Linked DNA regions of Caenorhabditis elegans. The protein of the gene in region 1 interacts with the protein of each later gene in a pairwise test. Each region holds a gene or a part of one and is shown on either strand. Other genes may lie near its edges. The genes, in order: aldo-1 and F58B4.5.

Region 1 (8,140 bases):
CACTCATAATTTTGGAAATTTTTTGGATTGTTTTATTATGATATACGGTCGTTTTGGATTGTAAGTGTATTTAGACAAAATCCCCAATGGCGATACTCCACTTTTAACCACGTGGTATTCTTATTTGGTTGATTGATACAATTTGCACACACACACGAAAACTATTGTCAACATTTAAATGTTTCAGATCTGATTCCTCAACAATGTATGCATATGGTTTAAAAGAATCAATCGTGTTCGTATTTGTGGTAATTGTTGCAATTTTCTCTTTAATCGTTGCGACACAAAACTGCTCACAAATGATGCTCGCTGCTATAATTGGCCAAGGGTACGTTCGTTTTTTTCTGTTTAAAATTTTATTCAGTTAATTAAATTTTACCCAGATTTTTGTTGAAATTTTTATAATTTCTACAATTTATTTTCAGAATATGCATATTATCAATATCTAGTGAACTATTCACTTCTGAACGGATCTCTGCAATTTTTAACGAATTGAAAAGTTTTGAAACTGCCGGATCTACTATTGAAATTGGGTGAGTTTTGGGAACTCAATTTTTTTACTAGAATTTCTAGCATTTCGGGAAATTTTGAAGGGACTTCTAAAATGCACTGTTTAAATCATTCCAGCAGCAAATAAAAAAATCCGAAAATGTTTAGAATTTAATTTTTAAAAATTATTTTTAAGAACGTTTGGCGCAAAAGTGAAACTTTTTAACTTTAGAGAAGAATCATGAAAATCAGTGCAAAATTAAAATTTTAATATTTCAGAAAAGATGATGCAAAGGCATAAAATTGGACATTTAAATTTTCAACAAAAAAATACTAGACATAAAATTTAAATTCTAAGTTTTCCAAAACTTTATCGCTACAAATTTCAGTTTAAAAAAATTTTGCGCTAAATTCAAATTGAAATAATTCAAAAATAAATTGGTGCAAAAGTCAAATTTTAAACCGTCTTTTCTGGTTTTCAATTTTAAAATCTCTTGTCCAAAGTTAAGAAAACTCAGTTCTTCAAAATTAAACCAATAAAAAACCTTGCAGAATAGTCCTCTTAAACGGGTGTGCAGTGGTGTCACTACTCGTATTGGTCCTTCAATTGATTGTCTTTGTATTCTGCGTCTCTCCAATCTCCACACTCTCTGCCTCGTCAATCGGTTCTACGAATTCCTTACTTTTACTTGACAACAATCGAAATCCCAGTGGCAGCAATCGAGTCGAGAGAACCGCGTTTTGAACGTTTGCTCAACTTTCTCCGCTCTTCCCCTTTTTCACTTTTTCTCCAATTCTTTCAAAAAATAAAACTATTTCTTCATTTTTATTTTACTCTAAACTCAAAAATATTGGCCACATTCATTTAGACAAAGAACAACTGTCAACTATGGGTCAACATTTGACAGACATGAGCATTTCACGTGGGAAATGGCCAGATAGAGCATTACCTAGAGAAAATACTTTTTTCTATGTTCGTCTTACACTTCTCATCTATCTATATACAGGAAGAGCTTTTCGATAATCGAGTTTTTCAAAACAGTTTGTTGCTTTTTTTTTGGAATTGCTTAAATTTTCAGCTAATTGAGAATACGCTTGGTTAAAATTTTAAAACTTTTTACATTCCAAAAGCTTCTAAAACTTGCCAGTAACAACTTTTTCTCAATTCCGAGCTACGGTTTTCCCGCATTTTTCAAACATCTTTTTTTTTTAAGTTCCCAATATTTTTTTTTCAAAGATTTTGACAAAAACCATTTTTTCCGGCAAATTGCCGAAATTGAAATTTCCGGATCCCCTCTGATTCAAACTCTGAAAATTAGAAGAATATATATGTTAGTCGTGATAAGATGTTGCTTTTATAGATTTTGCAAGGCATTCTACCTAAATTTCCAATGGTTAAGTTTTCTTTGTGCACATTCAAATTCTGGGTCCATGAAGAAAAAAAAACAATTTCATAACCCTTCTACGTTTTCTCTAAACTCTCACTATTCGCACAATTGCATCATGCCTCCTCCATATTGCCATCTCACGCAAAAAAGCACATAGCCATTCTCAAAATATCTTTTTCACATCACGTCGTTTTCTATTCGCTGTCTTTTTTGTTGTACCCATGTTATAGTTTTGACATAGAAGCTCATTTTATTTACAAAAATGAATACATAGATGTATTGCTTGTTTTACATAAGATCCTCTTCTTGTTTTTTTTTGTCATGATTTGTCGTAGATTTTGAATTGTTTTATTAGTACGTGCCTCGCATGTTCTCGTACTTATAGTAGCCTTATAGGTCTTACGAGAATGCCCAGGGAATAAACAGAGCAGGGGTATACGGCAAATTTGCCAAATTTGCCGTTTGCTGAGCTCGGTAACTTTGCTGAATTTGCCGAGCAAGACAAATTTCAAAAAAGTAGATTTGTTAAATTTTCCGAGCTCTGCAAATTTCGATATTTGCCGCACATGCCAAAGTTTTGACATTACAACTTTGACCAAAACCATTGGTTTTGTCCCCAAAAATTGAGTAAAATGACACAAAATTGAGTTATTTTGATAATTAATACAGAGCGAGTTACGGAATATGGCAAACGAAAATGCAGTTTACTCTAGTTTTTTTTTAAATATAACTATGTGGTCTAAACCCTATAATATTGGAAAACTAGGTAAATTGTGTTTTTATCGTAGGGGCAAGTTGGCTCATTTTCGAATTAAAAAAAAAAAACAAAATGTGCCAAGTAGGGTCGATTCCTCTGAAAAACGATTGCATCATTCCAAATTTCGTAATCTCTTTTACATTATTTCAATTTCAGACTACTCCAATGAGTCCTAAACTAGGCTCGAGCTCATAGCCCGGCTGCTCTAAGTACGCCAGAGGCATATGTCTGAAAAGCAATTTCAACTTTCATATCTTCATATCTCCGCACGCTTCCGTGAACCAAATCAAATCAAATCCTCCAACGTTGAAAAGTTCAAGACTTTGGCAATTCCTGCTCCTCTCGCTTCTTCAAACTATTTCTCACGTTCTGCTCCAACAGCAGTTCTTCTTCTTTTACTTCTCACAAAATTTCGTGCAAATCACGTAGGGCCCCTCAATTCCCTCTCGCCACTCTGCACGGCTTCTCACACACTCTTGCTCTCTCGCCAGGGGCTCTCCGTCTCCCTTCTCGGCGGTGCCATCGATTCGTTTGGCGCGAGAGAGAAAGCTCCGGCTCTTTTCACTTTTATCAGCGGCCCTTGTTTTTCACCGACTTCACTCTTGCACATTTTCAGGCAACTTCATTTTCTAAAATGGCTTCTTACTCGCAATTCTTGACCAAGGCCCAGGAGGACGAACTCCGCTCCATCGCCAACGCCATCGTCACCCCAGGAAAGGGAATTCTCGGTAAGTAACGATATTAAATTTGGGAAACAAAATTTGGCATTTTGTGTGTTACAAATCTAATCTCTAATCTCTCCAATCTCCCTGAAATTCGAATTTGCAGCCGCCGATGAGTCCACCGGATCCATGGACAAGCGTCTTAACAGCATCGGACTCGAGAACACCGAGGAGAACCGCCGCAAGTATCGTCAACTTCTGTTTACCGCCGGAGCCGACCTCAACAAGTACATCTCGGGAGTCATCATGTTCCACGAGACATTCTACCAAAAGACCGACGACGGAAAGCCATTCACTGCTCTTCTCCAGGAGCAAGGAATCATTCCAGGAATCAAGGTTGACAAGGGTGTCGTCCCAATGGCCGGAACCATCGGAGAGGGAACCACTCAGGGATTGGATGACTTGAATGCTCGTTGCGCTCAATACAAGAAAGACGGAGCACAGTTCGCCAAGTGGAGATGCGTGCACAAGATCTCATCTACGACTCCATCAGTGACTGCTCTTAAGGAAATTGCCTCCAACTTGGCTCGCTATGCTTCAATTTGCCAACAAAATGGACTTGTACCAATTGTTGAGCCAGAGGTAATTACCGAGAGTCGAGAGCCGAGAGTCGCACAGCACTGGTACCTACCCACCTAAGTTCCTTTTGGGGGGATGTAGTCGTAGATCGGCTTGAATGTAATACTTAGAACGGTTTTCACAGAAAATTTTAATATTCGATGCAAAACCCAAGTTAATGCCACGTCCGTTACTTGGGTCTCGCAGCAGTTTTTTTTTTGTAAAAAAAATATAATTGGCACTCTAATTAGTTATCATTTCAGATCCTCCCAGACGGTGAACACTGCTTGGCTCGCGGACAGAAGATCACCGAGACCGTGCTCTCATATGTGTACCACGCTCTCAACGAGCATCACGTCTTCCTCGAGGGAACCCTCCTCAAGCCAAACATGGTCACCTCCGGACAATCATTCACCGGCGAGAAGCCATCGAATGCCGATATCGGACTCGCCACCGTCACCGCCCTCCAACGCGGAGTCCCATCCGCCGTTCCAGGAGTCGTCTTCCTCTCCGGTGGACAATCCGAAGAGGATGCCACATTGAACTTGAACGCCATCAATCAAGTGAGCGGAAAGAAGCCATGGGCCCTCACATTCTCCTATGGACGTGCTCTTCAAGCCTCCTGTCTCGCCAAGTGGGCCGGAAAGGACGAGAACATCGCAGCCGCCCAAGAAGTCCTGCTCCATCGTGCTCAGGTCAACTCCCTTGCCTCTGTCGGAAAATACACCGGGGATGCTTCAGCTGACGCAGCCGCTTCCCAATCCCTCTTCGTCGCCAATCATTCTTATTAAATGGCCACGCTCAGGATCTCTTTTTTCTCATTTTTTAAAACTATTCAACGCACGTAGAATTATGTGTCTGTATACCCCTTTAATTGTCATTATTTGCTTCTCTAAGTCTCTTCGGATTTAATAAATCTTTGGTAGATACGAATGCACAATTAAAGAGAGATGTATCTTTGGAACATTTGATTCAAGCAGACAGACAATTGAGCGATGGCTCGTCGCGATGCATTCATAGTGATGACGTCAAGATGTCTTCTACTACTCACTATTCCTTGTAGGTTTATGTGTCTGCTCAATTGTTGAGAACAGAAGGTGCCTAGTGTAAGTGCGAGAGAACAATTTCCCAGTGGAGCCGTTTAACCTTGGGCAGGTGCGATGCACATTTTCAGATCGATATCTAACCAGTTGCACACTATTCGCAACGCATTACAGCCATTCATTTGTCCATTGCAATGTACTACCGCGAAGTGAGAGGATCTGAGATCTTCTATACCAAGTACTATGGTCCGCCAACTGAAAAGGATACCTTGGCTGCCAAGAACCCTTTTGAAATGTAAGTGTTTTTAAAACTAAATTTTCTAAATTTCCAATAGTAAATGTGTTACACCCTGTCGTTGGATTGTTTTTGTTTTCCAAGTTGTTTGATCTTCAGAAATCGACTAACCGAGATTTTTAAAAGTCAAACGAATAAATCAAACAAAACCAATATAAACATTTCCAGGATGGACTATGCCTTAAAATCCCCGGAGCACCTAACTTCCGCCCATTCATACACAAAGAATAACCACTGTCAATGCTATGAAATCGCAGTCGATATCTGTTCTGAGCCACGTGTTCGTGTGAAGGGTCTAGACCGTTGTTGGGAGTACCAGATCCAATCTACCGTGAATGCTCCGCCAACTCCTGGAGAGATGCGAGTCATTGAATTTCTCAAGGTTTACACTACGCGTATGTATTCAGAAGATAAGATTGAAGGACTAAAGAAGTGGACGGAGAACGTAACTAATGTACTAGACTTTCCAATTCATACGATCAACTTCTCACTGGACGCCTTTCCCCAGCAAAACCGAGAAATCATCGATTGGCTTGCCAAAATTAGAAAGGACATTCCAGACGTTAACATTTTCGGGAGCAATGTGGTAAATGAAGATTTGCTCTATTTACTCCAAACTGTCAATATCACCGATAGCGTCGAGTTCCACTTGGATACCGCTGAAATATTTCCTTACGACATCCCAGTCCGCGCCAAGTACTTCTTGAGCTCTCAAACAAAATGGATTAGCATCAAGCAACTTATGAAGCTGGAGTGCACTGATATCATCGCAAACGACACTGATTTCACTGACGAGGAGCTAAGCACGTTCATTTTGAGTTGGATGAAAATGGAAACAAATGAGAATTTGACTTCTTTGATGACTCCGATCAAGTCCCCTAAGGCGGTTCTTAGCAAGTTACCTCATGTGATTGATGCGAAGGGTAACGTTATTCTGACGCGGGATAATGAAAAGAGAGTCTGTTTCTACATCTTGGAGAAAAATGGACTGAAAAAGCTCATAATGAGATAAAATTTTAAATATTTTTTTGGCGAATAGTAGATATTTTTTTCATTGTATTTATGCTTTCCGAAAAACAAGCTATGTATGTTTCTCTTTTTAATTTTCGTGATATAACACTCTTCTTAAAGTTTACTATTTCAATTCACATATGCCAAAAAGTGTAAATTCTGAATATCCTTTTATTACAATAAACATGTTCACCTACTCTTGCAACGTGAAGCGTTTTTTTTTCAATTTCTGACTAAAAATTCGTTTAATACGGTATCAGGTCTCGACACGATCAAAAAATTTCTGTATTCTCTATTTCAGCACAGGTTTTTTCACGAAAGCATTTTAGCGGGTTTTTTAAAATTTTCTAGGGTCTTTTAAGTTCAATTGGTATTTTTTTTAATTAATTAAAAATTTTAATTCTATATCACTTTCAAAATAAATAATACCAATTGTATTGCATTTCATAACATTAATGACTACAGTACACTTTAAAGGCGCATCGCTCAAAGTTACAAATCAGGTCTCGTCGCGAACTTTATTTGCGAGCAAGACATTTATTTTTTTAAACCTTTTCAGGCTTTGTTTCTCCATTTTCTTCGATTTTCATTCATTTTTCTATGATTTCTCTATTTTATTGTGAAAATATGTACTTTTCGTTGTTTTATAACCGTTTTGCTGTTTAAAATAGATAGCATCTGCATTTCCGAGTAGTTTTCCTCTTTGTCGAACTTGAGAATTTGTTTTCGAGGCATTATTGATGATTTAACAAGTCATTCTGAGTTTAACTTGTTAACTTTTAAATGTTTGCCGTAATTTTTGTAAAATTTCCAAGAAAAGCCCCAATTTTATTCAGATATTAGAGAATTCCGTGCTAAATCCGAAGTATTACAGTAAATAGGCCGGCAAAAACCGTAAAATCGAGAGAATATAGCCACGAAACGTAGAGAAAACAGAGAAAATCCTTGGGATATTCTCTCTTCCGAATCATGACCCGATTCCGAATACTTTCGCTATTTTCTCCCCGCGTTGCGCACGGCTTCCTCATTTTCTACCTCATATTTTAGTTTTTTTTTAAATATATTTTTTTGAAAAATGAGTCAATTATGTACTTTTTTCCACAGAAAGCTACACTTTCAATTAAAAATGATGTCATTTAAACCGAAAAACCTTGAACATGATCGGCGACATGACTTTAGAGAGAAAAATGAATTTTGCCATGACACAGTCGAAAAAGAAAATGGAGACACTTGTTTCTTGTGTTTTTATTGAAATTAGGCCGCGAAGTTTTTGTGTTTTCTTAAACATTGTTGTCAAGAGTGCAAAGAAAACAGAGTTCTTGTCGAGTTTTCTGAATTTCATTAAATTTTTCTATTAAAATCGATTAATTTTCGGTACTCCACCCTTAAATTTCTTAGAATTTTCTGGAAAACGATTGTTAATTCATGTATTGAGCATTGAGCATCTCTAACTAGAAACAAAATAATCAAAGTATTTTCCCCCGTATCATTCATCTATTCCATCACTAATCTAACCTAGCAAAATTTATATACGGCCATAAATTTCCTGTGACAACGACGGCGAACCGTATCCGCGCCTAATTTGCATACAATTTCACAGAATGCCCATAAAAACATTCCTTTCCAAATGGCGTTGGCAACAACACAAACCCAACGTCCATTTCTGACTTTTTGCCATTGACTGGGCAAATCTGATGTCAGTTGAACAGTAAAATAAAAAAACGAGTTCGCTAAAGCTAATACTACTATGTATGCCTTGCTTGATGTATACAATTTCAAGTGAATCATCCATACACTGCCAAAAAAGCTGGTTCTCGATATGTATAATGCTGAATACTTCAAAAACACAGAATTTACGAAATAGAAACGAATGAGAA
Region 2 (7,819 bases), on another chromosome or scaffold:
ATAAAATGACATCATCTCAGAAAACGGAAAAATGCGACAACGAAGAAAGCTTGCAAATTCTTGAGAGTCTGTTGCAAATATATCGATTATTTTTGAATTCTACTAATCGATCATTTTTCAGAAACAAATACCGGTACAATGTATAATACAGTTCACAGCGATGATCTTCTTAAAATGGGAAGATATTCAATTTTACTATGTATTTTTGTAGAAGTCGCCATGTTATCACAATTATCAAATACCATGCTTATGGTTTATGCAGGTATAGCTCCAAAAAATTTTTTTTTAAAAGCAAATGAATTATTTCCAGGAGCGGCTCCAACTATAAAATCGTGTGGCAATATGACATTTTCTTCAAACGAAGAAGCATGTTTACATTACAGTTACTGTAAAGAGCAGAAAGAAATGACTTTCGAAAGACAATTTTATGGAATTACCGAACAGGTTAGGTTAAAAACAAAATTACCTGAATTAAAAAATCTCAGTATTTAAGTTCAAATTGTTGTGTGAGGATGCAAAACTGGAAAAGTTGGGAACATCGATACAAATGCTCGGAGTTATGTTGGGATGTGTTGTGTTTGGACAAATCGGGGATCAATATGGTAGAAAAACACCAATGATGTTTTGTCTCTGCATGTGTTTCATTTTTGGGATAATGTCAGCGTTGTCAGCTGATTTCAAAAAGTTTACAATTTTTCGAACAATTCTTTGTTTTTTCAATGGTGGACAGAGCACGTAAGACTTGAATTCCGTTGGCTTAATCTCAAATTTGTTTCAGAATCTCAGTTGTGTATATGATAGAAAACATTCCAAAACGCACAAGAGGCTATATTTCTACATTAATTAGTTATTCTCCAAATGTGATTCTCCTGGGAATTCTTGCATTCTTCTTCCAACAATGGGATCGATTGGCTTTAGTTATCTCATTTCTGACAGTTCCAGCAATTATAATGTTGGCGTAAGTTTTCTTCCATGAGTTGAAATTATTTTGAAAAAACAAAGTTTTAACCAAATTTGGTAACTTTTGGTCACATATAAGTTATGGAAAATGTCCAACAGAGAGGTTCACTATTGAGCAAAACCACTTCTGACCGGAATGTGTTTTGTTGTTATTGAATTTGATACTGTATTTTTTCCAACAAAAACTAGACACTACTTCTCTCTAAACCATTTTGAATATACTGTGGAGTTTGAACTTTTCTTATAGATTGCGAACTAGAACTCCTCGAACCATACAAGTTTGTGAGATCACTTGAGTCATTCAAAGTCAAACTGAAACAATTAATAATTGAAAATTTTCCAGTTTTCTCCACGAAAGTCCTCGATGGTTGATGCAAAAAGGACAAATTTCTCATGCTAAAAAGGTGTTTCTCGCCATTGAAAAATTCGATGGAGTTCCTGCAGCAAAATCATTGAATGAAACTGAACTTGAAAACTTTTTGGAAAATGAACATGACAAACAAGTTGCTGATGGAAATACAGAAGTTGGAAAACAACATTCATTTTGGCATCTTTTCAAAACGAAAGAAATCATGACGGGTACTTTTGTCATTGCATTTACATTGTGAGTTTGAAAAATGTTTCTGGGTTTGTGCTCATGTTAATTTCTTAGTTTTGCAACTACATTAATTAATTATTCAATTATGTTCAATCTGGGAGCTGTCGCTGGTTCAATATACATGAACTCTATTCTCATTGGACTTCTACGTTACTCATTCAGCTTGTTCAGTGGACTCTTGGATTACAAATTTGAGAAATTTGACAGAAAAATGTGTCATGGAATTTGTAGCGTGGTTACTATTTCCATAATTGTTGCAATTATTGCATTTTGTTTAACCGATACAACTGCAACATTTTCTGTGCTGATCAGAATAGGAGTATTGTTATCGTGTGCTATGACTTCTCAAGCAATTATTGTTGCAAGTATTGCTTCAAATGAGTTGATGCCAACTGCAATTCGATCAATTTCATATTCAACTGCTCAGCTTTGCTCAAGATTTGGAATTGTTTTTGCTCCCCATGTGTTCCACTTGGTGATTTTTTTTAAATTTCAAACAACTGTAGAATAGATTTAAAATTAAGACCAGAATTCTGAAGAACAACACTAAGTCTGCCTGAAATCTTGAATAAAAATATGACCATCAAAAACTTAAAACCAACGCTTGATTTTCAGAACTTGTACACTGGTATTGACTTTCCAGTTTTGCCATACGCCATACTTTTAGCCATCGGATTGGCTGATTTCATATTTTTCAGAGTAAGTTGAGCGAATTTTCTCTAATTAAAATTTTTTTTTCGTTTCAGTTTTTGATTCCTGAAACAAAAAACAAGCCTCTTGAGGATTTTATTGTCAATAGAACAAAGACTATCGGGAACGATGAAGAGGAAGAAGATCGAGTTTAGATGCATATTATAATTGAAAAAAAAACAATACAAATAAAACTTTTATTAAAACAGTTTGTTTATTGCTGAACTTAGAATTCAAAATATTTTGGGAAGTTTTTAATATTGCTCTCGTGAGTTGTGATAACATCTTCAAGAAGTCCAATCATTTTGTCTAGTGCCACTTGTTTCATCTGAAATTTTTTCTTTCTCAATAAGTACGTAGAAGTAGAACATTTAAACATACAGAGTCTTTGTATTCTTCAGTTACATTTGAATGTTGGAGCATTGGTGCAATTCCAGGAAGAACCATTGTAGTCATTAGTGGGAAGTAAACTTGATAACTATCTTTAAGTTGTTGGAATGTATATGGAACATCCATTCCATCAAGTTCATTTACAAATGTATTGTAGTATTCTTCCAACAAGAAATCTGCCTTTTCTCTTCTATCTTTTGTTGATAAGCATGATGCAAACAATCGGCCAACGTCTTGTGCTGGAGTTGTGATTGAAACTGTCTGAAATTCAAAAATCTGGAAATAAGCTTCTAAAAATCTAAATTAACCTGGAAATCAATAATCGCTTTCAATGTAACTTTTTCTCCATCTCGAGTACACAAAAAGTTTGAGCTCCACAAATCAGAATGGGTGAGAACTGGTTTATAACCAAAGAATTGGCATGTATTTTTGAAATTTTTGATCATTTGCGGTTGGAAATAATAGTCTTTGTAGATTTTCAGCATTTCCTCAACTTTCTCCAAATACTCTTCTGGGAATGACGCTTTAAGCAGTACATTCATTCTTTCAATTGACTTCTCATCCATGAATTGTCCAAAAACAATATCCAAAAAGTCGGCTCCGCGAGCATATTTTGTCTCCTCTTCACTTAATTTCATACCAATCGCAGAAAATGCAGCAATTGCATGAATAACTGGAATCAGATCTTCAGCTGGAATACTTTCATGCATTCCAATATGATGAATATTTGGATAATATTCGGAAATCAAATAAGCCTTCAATTTATTCTCGTCGTCAAATGGCTTTGATGCGTAAACCTAAAGTTTTTCAGGTAAAAATTCAAGTAAAATCAATTTATTCACCTTCGTGAATGGAATCTTTGGATGCTTTTCTCTCATCAAAATCTTGTACGTGGCAACTTCTCTATTATGAAGCAATCTTGTAACTTCTCCCATTCCTTTCAGTTTTGCATCATCCCAAAACTCATCACCGGAAGAAAAATCCATAAGCTTGGTCATTTCAATGAATGGAAGTTGAGATGAAATCTTGACCACAAACTTTTCAGGCAGTTCCTCGTTTTCAGAAGCCCCTACCCACTTTGGTTCGACCAGAGCTATTTTGGACATGAATCCCTAAAATGTGAACGTCGAATATTATAAGTACAAAGTGAATCAAATACCTTCATATCACTGATATTTGTGGCAGTTTTGTCATCTCCAAAAGTGGCAGTTGTATCCAATGCCTTTTGCATTTCTTCCAGCACATCTTCCCAGGTAACATGAGTTCCAAGAAGTCCATCAGCAACAGTATACAACGACATTACAACTGCCTTTTCAAGAAAAAAGATGATGTAAATGCTGATTTAAAAGTTTTAACTGAAAACTACACTGTCTCTGTTGTTTTATAAGCACGTGCATGACCGCCTTATCGCGAGCATTTCATCGATAGGTTGATTGGGTACGCCTTATCTGTTGAGAAATGTTTGATTTTTTAAAAGCCATGCACAAACCATTTTCACAATTCAAACCGTGGTTTGGAACCGAAAAAAATCTGGAATTTTCGGAGAAAGTGCATCTTTAAAACATCCGGGTTGTTTGACTTCATGACGATCACAGCGAGAAAATCGATTTCCAAAACGAAAAAAAAAACCAAATTATGAGATTTCATATCAAAGAACATGCACAAATGCGTTGTCATGTTTATCTTAAATTTCAATTGAAACTTGCACTGATCACACTTCCACTTTGTGACTTATTTCCTACAGGGAATGCTTCAGAAATTAATATTCACCGATTATGAATATTTATCGAAAACTTTATGATTTGAATCGAGATAAAATTCTAAACGAAACAAGTATTTGAGTTTTGAAGTATGAAAAATGGATTTTTTTCAGGTTCTTTGCAGACTTGAACTTCTTCAGGCATTTAGTTTTCTGAAATCTTGAAAATGAAATGCAGATTATTAAACAACCTTGATTTAAAATCACCCCGACTAATAGTAAGATATATCTTGTGTTTTTCCTTTTTCATCTAAAGAACAGGTGATGTCTTTTTGTTTTCTTGGTTCAGTTCACATATCAAGACCGCCAACATCAGTGAGCTCTTGGAATTGGTGTTTGAGCTAACGTATTACAATCCCAATCAGGAACAAATTCTTTAAACGTCCTCAAACCATGTCGCGATTTTGTTAATTTTATATAAAATTGATTGACAAGAAACGAAGAAAAATATCTAACGAAAAAAATCGCCTGGAAGGAAGAAAGCTAAAATAATATAGGATTCAAAACTAATATATTAATAATTCAGTCCCAATCTTTCATTTTTTGTTCCAAATTAATTTAGTTTATGCAGATTCAGTATGGGATGGCAAAGTCAAAACGTTGATCTTTCTGACATCTTGGAAATTCTGTTAACACGTTTCAAATAAGTTTCAAAAAGTTGCCTGGAAGCAAAAGAAAAAATGCAAATGTATGTGGTTCAAAGTTAGCAAAATGTTTCTAAATAAATTTTTTAAAAATGAAATACCTTTGCAATGCTCCAAAAGCTCTTACTCAACATATCTTTTATAAACATTACCAGTTTGATGTATAGTCATGGCTTTCTTACGAGATGCTAATAATGGACTTTTATTGAAAATATATTGACTTCTCTACTCTAGCCAATATTTGCTCTGAAAGTGAAATCAAATTCATGAATCTGTCTATTCACATAAATCAATAGTAAACAGAACACGCTTCTATAAAAGCGAACAAAATTTCTGATAAATCAGAAATGATTACATCCTATATACTACTATTTGCTTCTGTAGTCTGCTTGGTGAGTGAATAGATGACGGTTTTCTCATTTTCTGTCTTGAAAAAATATTTTCAGGGCTTTTGTGCTTTGGACGACCAACTTTTGACGGAAGAAGGAAGTGGATTTGAGCCACCGCCGATTGTCAATATAACTGTGGAGTTGGTATCAAATAGATCTTTTGATCCGGAAAAGAATGCTTCCAATTTGAAAATTGTGAAAGATGCTGTGAGTATCCGCTTTGGGCCACGAACAAAAATTATCATTTTCAGGTTGATGATTATTCCAAAAAGGAGAATATTAGGTACCCATCTGACAATATCAAACAATCAATTATTGATCACGGAGGAAAGTTTGCAGTTCTTTTTGAGATCCGTGATGACGCAAGATGTGATGAAGTTCGCCGTTTTGTTAAAGGAGCAAAGAAGCACTCAAATGAACTTTCATATGCTGTTCTGAAATGTGATGGAGAAAAGACTCAAATTCTCTGATTTCTGTTTTCTTTTTCGAATTTATTAATTGGACTTTACATTGGAATAAATTATGTTCAGAGAAGCATTACAAACGGGATGATTATAAAAACATATGTCTATCACTGGATAAAAATTTGATGGCAAAATATGAGATTTTTTGAGAAGACTTGGGAACGGTACGATTATGAGGAATTGGACAAAAAAATGAAAAAGAAAACATTAACGATCTCCCTAGACAATGCGACTTTATGTCATGATTTTCATTAGAGAGATGAAGCCGAGAGTTATTCCAACAGCTGACACAATTCCAGTTTTCGGGGAAGAGTTACATCTGAAAATGTATTGGAATTATTATTCGGTCAATCCACATAGTTTTATTCATTATTACCCATCTCCGTAGCAGCAGCAAGTGGCCCCATTGACTCCGAAAGCTGAAGAGTTCTGGCAGTTGGCTGCGGCATTTTGCATTCCGTTCAACTGAAAAATAGACTTTCGTATCATTTCAACTATACATCTAATATTAGTTTGCCAGATATTCCCACGACTTCTAGCTTTCGCTAATGAGAATAGCTCTCGCGCATACATATATTCCCTACGGTGAGAGCAAGATCATGTGATACTTGTTGTCAGTGCCAGCAGGTGAGAAGCTAGAACTTCGCGTTAAACGCAGCTATGGTAACCATGGGAAACTGACGGAATGTTTGATTTCTAATTTTTTTATCACTCACTGTGCAGTTCATGGTTTGGCATTGCTTGGTATAGGTTCCCCGGGTGAAGTCGACAACTTTGACGCATGTCAATGATCCGATACCACACTCCTGAAATTGGAAAAATATCTATTTTTAAATATGAAAAAAATAAGTTTTATACCTGACGCTGGGAGGTATCTGGAACGGAGAGGTTTCCAGCTGGAACTACATGGCACTGTAGAGCAAATGCAGTGTAAACGGCAATGGCAAGGGTGATGAAGATTGGGCGAAGCATTCTGAAGATAAAAAAAATATTTCTGGTTGAAAGTGAAAAGGTGAGAAGCCCTTCAAGTGGCTGAGAGAATGAATATCAGAAAGAGAGGCTCAATCGGAGATAGGATATGGGCGGACACTTTGTTTCCAATTTGCTGTGTGACACCGAAATTTCCGGTGTGAGTGTGTGCGCACAAAGTGTGAAAGCTCACGATGGACGATGGGCCCTCTTTCTCTCTCAATTTACAATCATATGATAAGGCATGGGCAAAGTGAGCTCGAGTGGCAGCTCGCCGTAACAATGGCAACCGATGCGAAACAAGAGACAGGTGGAATCGAAAAAAGTTGGAGAAAAGAAGAGAAAATAGAGTTAAATGAGAAAATGGAAAAAGAGGAGGAGACGCTGTGCTGTTGTACTCTGTTCTCTTCATCACTGTAGTGTCTACTGCCACTGAGCTTACTTGTTAGCTGATAGTGGGCGGAGCCAAGTAGAGAAAAAATGAGCAAAGGGAGGAGCTGAAGAGCTACTTTTGGGACTTTTATGACAATGTATCACATGATAAAAACAGTTGTATAGTGTTTCGTAAGAAAAAAAAACGAAATCTATATAGGGGTAAATTAGAAAATGCAGGAAAAAAGAGCCGGCGCAACTTTACAAGTTGATTGGATATTTTTTGATTTCGGGCAATGGCTAATACGAATATGGATATGCCAGACGTGTTTTCTTCAAATCGTTGGTGGTTAATGATATAAGTGAAGCCCTAGAAGGATCAGGTGGTATGTGCATGCAAAAAACTGGATGACCAACTGGAATTCAACCAACTGAGCTATTAAACGATAATTCTCAAAACAAGAAGTTAATAATTTCTTTAAATTTGGTTTTACTTGCCACCTAATTCAATATTGAGTTATTACATGCCAACATAACTAAATAATTTGGTTTGATATATTAAATTGGAGATTTCATACAGACCA

What was found.
Region 2: the proteins of aldo-1 (region 1) and F58B4.5 interact in a two-hybrid assay, tested with the Caenorhabditis elegans proteins (one large-scale study listed by BioGRID).

The regions. Positions count from the first base shown.
Region 1 is NC_003281.10:13,560,048-13,568,187, reverse strand, and holds aldo-1 (Fructose-bisphosphate aldolase 1), read left to right. Parts: upstream 1-3,250; 5' UTR 3,251-3,268; coding exon 3,269-3,362; intron 3,363-3,462; coding exon 3,463-3,938; intron 3,939-4,177; coding exon 4,178-4,705; 3' UTR 4,706-4,842; downstream 4,843-8,140. Other genes in the region: exc-12 (Protein PNS1), read left to right, coding at 188-328, 426-533, 1,042-1,234; T05D4.2 (F-box associated domain-containing protein), read left to right, coding at 5,152-5,252, 5,421-6,264. UniProt on the Caenorhabditis elegans protein: May be involved in the metabolism of fructose-bisphosphate (beta-D-fructose 1,6-bisphosphate) and of fructose 1-phosphate.
Region 2 is NC_003283.11:10,928,859-10,936,677, reverse strand, and holds F58B4.5 (CHK kinase-like domain-containing protein), read right to left. Parts: upstream 3,986-7,819; 5' UTR 3,939-3,985; coding exon 3,798-3,938; intron 3,751-3,797; coding exon 3,481-3,750; intron 3,436-3,480; coding exon 2,947-3,435; intron 2,900-2,946; coding exon 2,630-2,899; intron 2,577-2,629; coding exon 2,475-2,576; 3' UTR 2,433-2,474; downstream 1-2,432. Other genes in the region: F17C11.12 (Major facilitator superfamily (MFS) profile domain-containing protein), read left to right, coding at 6-66, 122-262, 311-444, 494-735, 779-958, 1,304-1,564, 1,613-2,033, 2,174-2,257 and 1 more; scvp-1 (Secreted nematode Clade V Protein gene family), read left to right, coding at 5,389-5,433, 5,488-5,637, 5,682-5,900; nssp-63 (UPAR/Ly6 domain-containing protein), read right to left, coding at 6,129-6,213, 6,271-6,359, 6,611-6,700, 6,753-6,866.